2 linked regions of the Cricetulus griseus genome follow. The protein of the gene in region 2 binds, or shares a complex with, the protein of the main gene of each other region. Links are inferred from orthologs where the notes say so. Each region holds a gene or a part of one and is shown on either strand. Other genes may lie near its edges. The genes, in order: Scarb2 and Gba.

Region 1 (3,815 bases), on a different chromosome or scaffold from region 2:
TTTAAATTTGGCCTGTGTTTCAGCATTGGTTACATCCCACTGACATTTGTTAGTCACCACTCATCATCATTTGGATTCTCTCCAATCCTGTGAAGGGCCTAGTAAAGGTCCTTCATGGCTACTGTGTATAGTGCAGGGCTTAGCACTATGGGACATTCAAAGACTTGTCTATTCTTCTATTCTTGTGTATGCCCATTTATTACATGTGTTATGTTTTTGAAGAAAAAGAGGAGAAGAGGCGTATGAGACATGTTAACTAGTTTATTATAAGGCCCGGCAGAATAAGGGGACTAGGAGAGAAGAGGAACAGGGGTAATGGCTGACTGCCATGGCCGGTCGCCATAGAGAGGCAGAGAGGGCACGTAGGTGAGAGAGAGCGAAGAAGAAACAGAGAGAGAGTAGAGAGTAAAGAATAAAAGAGTAAAGAGAGAGCAGCAGGGAAGTTGGAACTTTTAAAGGGAAGACTGCACTTGCGCACTGAGGTTCCACGCATGCCCAGAGTCCTCACGCAGGCCGTAATGCGTGGTGGGTGATGTGATGGCACGTCCCTGTGCGTGCCCTGACTGTTGTCAGGGGGCGGGTTCTGCCTCTTAAAGAGATAGAGGCAGAGCCGATCAGCATCAAAGCCTGAACCTTTCAACATGTGCCTTTATTATTTTCTTATCTAGTCTTATTTTTTTGTTTGTTTTTTGTTGTTTTTCGAGACAGGGTTTCTCTGTGTAGCTTTGGAGCCTTTCCTGAAACTTGCTCTGCAGACCAGGCAAGAGCCTTAAACTCACAGAGATCCACCTGCCTCTGCCTCCCAACTGCTGGGATTAAAGGCTTGTGCCACCACTGTCCAGCCATTCTTATCTATTCTTATTTTAAATCTAGAAAGTATCAGACACAGGGGTGCATAGCTGTAATCTGAGTTCTCAGAAGGCAGAGGCAGGAGAGTTGCTATAAATTTGAGGACAGCCTGATCTGTATTGCGAGTTCCAGGTCAGCCAGAATTACATGGCAGGACTGTTGTTTTGTTTTTTAAATGTCATCAGCTGGCTTGCCATTTTATTGTTGACTACAAGGTAATTCCTTCACAATCTACACGACTTCACTCAGGTTTATAACCGAGTGCCTAAAGCAAGTACAATTAGCAAACTCTACAAATAGCAGATGGGTGAAAAAAAAAATCCCCAAGAACTGCCGAGGTCAGAAAGGGCCAGTGGAGGGAGGGGTCATGGCCCAGCTGCTAGGGGTCTTCTAATCTGTATGTGATTATAGAGTTTTAGATGACATTTTGTTAACTACATATGTAACTAAAGATTTTCTAAATAGATGTAGTGGCACATGCCTGTAATCTTAGCACTTGGAAGGCTGACACAGGAGGATTGCCCCAGTTGGAGGCCAACAAGGGCTACAGAGTAAAAGCCTATCTCAAACAAAACAAAAAGCTCCACCAAATTTAGAAAAAAAATATTGCATTAAAATAATATTTTATTTGGATTACCTTAGATACATCTTGCATTTCATACCTTCAGTGAATTCTTCCTCAAATTCACTCTAGGCCATATACCAAGCCCTGCCCCCTCCCTTTTTTAGACAAACTCTCACACTGTAGCCTGGAACTCACTACAGAGTCTGGACTGGCCGCTAACTCTCGGTCCATCAGCCTCCAGAGAGCTGGGATCACAGGCACAAGAAGTCATACCCACCCAGCCCAAGCACTTTGAGAGATGTGCTTTTAAATTGACGAAGTAATTTATAGTGTGTAAATATTTAATGATTAGCATAAATATTTAATGATTAGCTCTGACTAAATGGTATATTCATCATCTCAGATACTTGTCATTTCTTTATATTGGGAGCATTGAACAAACTTCTCATCTAGCTCCTTAGAAGTAATTATCAATGTCAACGATTGTTACCTATTATACTATACACCAACATCTTTCTAAGAGATTTTGTAATTTTGTAATTTTTGTAATTCAGGAAAGAGTTCATTGTTTGACTGTTATATCTCCCTGATTCTGGGAGGAAAAGAAAGTGGAACAATAGATTTTGAGAAGCGTTTCCTAGACCCTATCCCCTTTCAGCGTCTTGGCTCTAATCTGTAGTTTTTAAGAACTGAGTATCAACAGCCTACGTACATAGTCATTTTATTAGAAATGTTATATAGAAAAAATGTAACTTTAATACTGAACAGAGGGCTGGTTTGTTAATGTGGTATCTGTTTTCAAACAATGTGTTTGTTTGTTTGTTTGTTTAGGGAAATCAGGAACAAGGCAAACATCCAATTTGGAGAGAATGGAACAACCATATCGGCTGTTAGCAATAAGGCATATGTTTTTGAACGAAACCAATCTGTTGGCGACACTAATGTTGACTTGATTAGAACGATAAATATTCCTCTGTTGGTAAGTGGACCTCAAAGTATGGTTATCATGGGTTTGTGGAAGGAAAATGGCAAGCCTTATAGGTTCTATGTAATTTAAAAGCTATTATTTTATGATAAAATATAGATATGGGGGGCTTGTCTTGCTTAATGTGGTGAGTCCCTGAATTTAATCCTAGAACCACCATAAAAACAAACAAACAAGCATAAAATATGGACGTGCACAAAGACTTTATTTGTATGTGTTGGGGTGTGGGGGTGGGGTTGCTCCTGGCCTCCAGCTGGCTGTGTCAATCTCCTTTCCTTTGTCTTCCTAATCTTGAATTATAGGCATGCTCCAGTGGCAATGCCTAGCAAGCCTTTCATGTACATGTACTTTTATTAAGTATATAGATATAGACTTTTTCTGAGGTCAGTAAAACAAGGTCATTACAAAAGTTATTCAAAGATTAGGTCTCTGGGATTTTTCCTTTGGGTTCAGGATTAGCATTTATGCAAATAAGTAAGGAATTTTTTTTTTTTTTTTTTTTTTTTTTTGGTACTTATGCCATCCTGAGACTCAGGGTCTTTCTTTCTTGAAACTGGATCTCTTTTAGCCCAGGCTAGCCTTTGTTTTAGTGTGGTACTAGGGATCAAACTCTGGGCTTCCTGAGTAGTCCAGAAGGGGGTCAGGGGCTGCTTTACCCAGTGAGCCATATCCCTAGTCCTAATCCTCTGCACCAACTTCCTCTGAGGCTTCCACACTCTAGGAACCCAGTACCTTAAAGAGCACAGATGCTAAGTCTTGCCTTGCCCTGCTGCTAAAGATGTGGAGATTCAGTCACCAGTCTGCTCCAGGAGAAGTGGAGCCACCTGGTGGCTAAAGGTCCCTTTGCACTTATGGGATCTCTGTGATGTTGGGCATCATTCAGAACCCGCTAACAGGAATTCTAAAATCACAGTTACATTAAGGTGGATATGATCTGGTGGTCCAGGTCTGTAATCCCAGCTCCTTTCTGAGGTAAAAACTGAACAATTAAAAAGCTCAGACTGGGTTTCAGAGTCAGTTCAAGGTTAGTCTGGGCAACTTAGTGAGACCCTGTCTCAAAATTTACAAAAGGGGGCTGGGGCTTAGGATAGAGATCAGTGGTAGAGGGTTTGTCTACCATGCGCAAGGCCATGAAGTCCACACACACACACACACACACACACACACACACACACACACACACACACACACACACACAGAAAGGGCCATGGCTGAAATCTTACTTCACACACAGACAGGGAGGTCACTGGTTGGATTTTCTGTTTAGTTTCTGGCCCATTCTGCAGAGGGGCAGGCAGAGAGCTGGGTGGACATTTTGGAGGGGACACTGATTAATCTGCCTCTGCTCTGCAGACTGTTGTGGAACTGACCCAGCTGCCCCTGCTTAAGGAAATCATTGAGGCCATGCTGAAAACC
Region 2 (4,353 bases):
GATGATAGAGTGTTTGATTGGTGAGGCCACAAACACAGAGCTCTGGAATTGTGGATGGATGAACTAGAGGGGAGTTAGGCAACACTTCCTGGAATTCAGGAAATCTAAAAAAGGGTGGGTACAGACAGTCAGAGCCATACAGCAGTTCAATAAATATGACAATTTGCCACCTATCCCTGTGACATAGTAGATGCCACAAAGGCTTTGAGGCTGCCTAGAACAAGTAAAACATTGCCTTGAAGGTTCCCCAATAAACACTGCTTAGTTGCAACACTCAGTGTGAAGCACTGTTCTAAACACACTCATCTCAAAATAGCTCTGTGAGATGACAGGATCACTCCTCTTCTATAGATAAGAAGCAGACTTAGAGGAATTAATTTGCTGATCTCAACAAGATAACCAAACAGTAAATGATTGGGAGCTGTCAGGATTCAAACACTATGAATCTCCCAGAAGCTACACTTAAAGTCTGGATCTAAGATAAGTAATCAATTTTCAGAGGATATGTGGCAAAGACTTCACTGTTATAATCATAAAAACATAAGAGACTCAGTCAACAAGCATAAAGCTCCTGATGCCTATCAAGTGCTCCCACTTGGCTTATCTTCCTGACTCCTTTAATGCCCTGTGAGACTTTGCTGTTGTCTCTGTTTTCCAAGTGAGGAAACAGGCTTAGCGACATGGAATTAGTCAGATCGTATTGTATGTGTCACTGCCAATAAATTTAGCTTGATGTGGTTCACAGAGAATCCTGTGGACAGCCCTCCTCTGTGTCTACCAAAGATATATAACTTTATACAGCACTTTCCAGTTCTGGACTGCTTCACCAACCTCCCAGTCTTGTGTGGGGAGATGACATCTTTCTAGCCAGCATCTGATGATGAACTGAGGGGATCCAGGAAGAGGCAGTGGGCACTACTCCCCCCTCCTCACTCTTGCCACCCAGTGCTGGACTGTGACTCAGGGCACTTCACTGTAACTCCCTCCAGCGTCTCCTGTGTTAAGCCTTTGTGGAGAAGTCTTCAACCACAGAGGGTCCCTTTTCCTCTCAGGAAGTCCTCTATGCACACCTGTCAACATTGCTTTTGTCTTCATCTGTAACTGTGCAACTGTCTGACTCTTGTGCCTCACTAGTCTCCTTAGGGCAAAGACTGTGTGTATGTGTTTTATTTTTTAAATATGTTGTGTATATCCACTTGTGGGTATGTGCATGGGAGTGCAGGGATCCTTGGAGGCTACAAGTTCCTTCTGTCTTGAAAATGGAGCCTCTATGCAGCATTTCACACAAGTTCTTGTTCTAGCCTCTTCCTAAAGCTGTCAACCACGTAGGCTTCATAGGTCTTCTATCTCTCCAGCACTCTGGAACTGCCACAATCTTCTCCTTATCCATTGACCCTGAAGAACTCACGCCTGGAAGAGCCCGGCTGCCCACTACAAATATGGCTTCAATTGCTTCACTTCCTTATCACGTGATCACCTTAGTCATCACATGACTTTGTCCTCCCCTTTAAGCCGGAATTAACTTGCTGTGCCAGTCCGGATCCTGTAGCTATAGCTACATCCCTGTTTTTATTTCATAGGTCTTCTATCTCTCCAGCACTCTGGAATTGCCACAATCTTCTCCTCATCCATTGACCCTGAAAAGCTCAAGTCTTCACGACCTTCCAGAAAGGTAAGCAGGCAGGATTTCAATTTGCCTTGTCAACCTTGCTTCTAGAATTCAGGGAATGGCAGATTCTTTTTAAAAATTAAGGCCATCATGGCTCTTTGAGTAAGACACAGATGGAGAGAGGGCTGAAGGTTGAAATCGATGGGATAGGCAGAAAACTCACTAGCAGAGTGGCTGCAGAGAGGAACACATACAGTGTCTATGGGCATTGTCTAATCACTAATAAAGATGGGAGACTATGTTGTGGGCACCCACAGGCAGCTAAAGCCTGGCCAGGAGAGTGGTTAGGGGATAGAGAGGGGCTTACCTTCTAATCGTTCCTCATTCTGTTCTCAGGAGTGTCTCAAACACCTGGGCAGGGTAGGTGTCATGGCTGCCAGGCTCATAGGATTCTTCTTACTTCAGGCAGTATCATGGGCATATGGTAAGTGAGTCAAGGAGTGGGGTGGCAGCATGGATATTTCCTCTGCCCCGAGGTCGTTTGCAAACCTGCCACTATGGTGGTGAGCTTTTAGCAGAGGCTCTGTAACTCTTATAGTGTGCCTGAGACAACCATGGGCTGGGAGTACAGTGGAGGGATCTTTTAAAACATTGTTGTTCAGGCTCTTGACTCTCAAACCCACTCCCCTGACCATCCACTTTGATGCTTGCCTCCGTTTGTGCCCCTGACTTGTAGGTGCACAACCCTGCATCCCTAAAAGTTTTGGCTACAGCTCAGTGGTCTGTGTCTGCAATGCCACATACTGTGACTCTCTTGACCCCCTGACCTTACCTGCTGCTGGTACCTTCAGCCGCTATGAGAGTACTCGGAGTGGACGTCGGATGGAGCTGAGTGTCGGGTCCATCCAGGCCAATCGCACAGGCACAGGTAGTCACTTTATCTCTCACTCTAAGCATGGCTGGGCCCCCTGGCTCGAAATCACATCAGTTATCAGTATCTGTACACTGACTGTGCCCCTTTTTCCCCATGGTGTCCTCAGGTCTACTACTGACCTTGCGTCCAGAAGAGAGGTTCCAGAAAGTGAAAGGATTTGGAGGAGCAATGACAGATGCCACTGCCCTCAACATCCTTGCCTTGTCCCCCTCTGCCCAGAATCTGCTGCTCAAATCATACTTCTCTAGTGAAGGTGAGGAAGGGCAGAATAAGATTACACAGTATAAGTGATATCTTTTTTTATACCCTGGCTTTATTTTTTAAATTTCTATTACATTTTACTATTTATTGTATGTGCTGAGCATGGGTGTGGGGCCAGAGAACAATTTTCAGGTGTCCATCGTCTCCTTCTACCATGTGGATTGTGGGGATTGAATCAGGTCCTCGGGCTTGGCACCAGGCAGCCCTACCCACTGAGCCATCCTGCCAGCCTTTTTACTCTGGTTTTCATGTTCTTCCCTGACATTTGCCTCCTCCCTTCCTTCTCTTCTCCCCTCCTTTCTCTATCCTTCTCAGAGCAGGTCTCATGTATTCCAGATTCAAATTCACTGTGTAGTCACTGATGACTTTGAACTCCTGATCCTCCTGAGTGCTGGACTACAGATTGCGTCCTGTTTACTCAGTGCTGGAACTTGGGGCTTTATGCATTCTAGGCAAGCTTTCTGCAACCTGAGCTACATCTCCATCCTGCCTCTCTCTTTCCTCTTCCCCTCTGTTCCTTTCCTCCCTCTTTCTGTATCAGCCTTGCCGTGACTGGCCTCAAACTCCTCCTGACTTGGTCTCCCAAGAGCTGGGATCACAAGTCCCCAAGTGTTTGTACCTCAGTGCGACTGAAACGAGATAGATTTTTAATATTCTAAGTATTTAAGGGGGCATGAAAACTGCTCAAGAGGGGCTTGTTCTTCACTCAGGTTCTGGTTCCTACAGTTCCATGCCCCATTCCCTTTGGAGAAGGGACTGTATTGAATGAGACCCCATTGAGGACTAACACACGATTAAAGCCAATTTCCACACTTGCCTTCCCCCCCCCCTCTCTCTCTCTCCCTCTCGCCCTGACTAGCCTACTCACAAGGATCTGTTAGCCTCTAGAGGTGTGGCATTACAGTCATGGTGCCACCTCATTCAGCTCCATACTCTATTGAGCCAGGTTTCCCTATCTTGGCCATCCTTTTCTGCAGGAATTGAATATAACATCATCCGGGTGCCCATGGCCAGTTGTGACTTCTCCATCCGAATCTACACCTATGCTGACACCCCTAATGACTTCCAGTTATCCAACTTCAGCCTCACAGAAGAAGACACCAAGCTCAAGGTGGGCATTCTGGTTGCTTCAGATACCTCTTGGTATTGCTGTCTGGGGACTGGGAAGGTCCAGGCTAGAGCTTTCTGCAGATCTAGGTAGAATCTTCTCCTGCAGCCTGTTTGACCTGGGGGTAGGAGGGTGGGTGACGGCAGTTGGACCTGATGCACTGGTTAGGCTAGTTTGTGTTCCAATTCTGGGTGTCTCTCTCTCCACGACATCTGTCTCCAGATACCCCTGATTCACCGAGCTCTGAAGATGTCCCCACGCCCCATCTCACTCCTTGCCAGTCCCTGGACATCTCCCACTTGGCTCAAGACCAATGGAGCAGTGAATGGGAAAGGGTCACTCAAGGGTCAGGCAGGGGATGTCTATCACCGGACCTGGGCCAATTACTTTGTCAAGTAAGGGATCATCAGGGCCTTGGGGACTGGGGTCTGTACCAACCTC

Evidence for each region.
Region 1: the proteins of Gba (region 2) and Scarb2 are in contact, whole or in part, in a cryo-EM structure (PDB 9FJF), measured with the Homo sapiens proteins. The link is inferred for Cricetulus griseus from reciprocal best matches to the Homo sapiens genes GBA1 and SCARB2. Residues at the interface, in NP_000148.2 of Homo sapiens: Leu130, Asn131, Ala134, Ile169, Glu190, Lys194, Leu195, Pro430, Arg434, Ile445, Thr446, Asp448; in NP_005497.1 of Homo sapiens: Lys161, Ala162, Tyr163, Gln164, Lys181, Glu183, Leu187, Phe191, Arg192.

The regions. Positions count from the first base shown.
Region 1 is NW_023276807.1:157,262,469-157,266,283, reverse strand, and holds part of Scarb2 (lysosome membrane protein 2), read left to right. Parts: intron 1-2,245; coding exon 2,246-2,393; intron 2,394-3,752; coding exon 3,753-3,815.
Region 2 is NW_023276806.1:65,351,774-65,356,126, reverse strand, and holds the start of Gba (lysosomal acid glucosylceramidase), read left to right. Parts: upstream 1-1,486; 5' UTR 1,487-1,672; intron 1,673-2,005; 5' UTR 2,006-2,038; coding exon 2,039-2,093; intron 2,094-2,345; coding exon 2,346-2,537; intron 2,538-2,649; coding exon 2,650-2,796; intron 2,797-3,781; coding exon 3,782-3,915; intron 3,916-4,134; coding exon 4,135-4,307; intron 4,308-4,353. UniProt on the Homo sapiens protein: Glucosylceramidase that catalyzes, within the lysosomal compartment, the hydrolysis of glucosylceramides/GlcCers (such as beta-D-glucosyl-(1<->1')-N-acylsphing-4-enine) into free ceramides (such as N-acylsphing-4-enine) and glucose.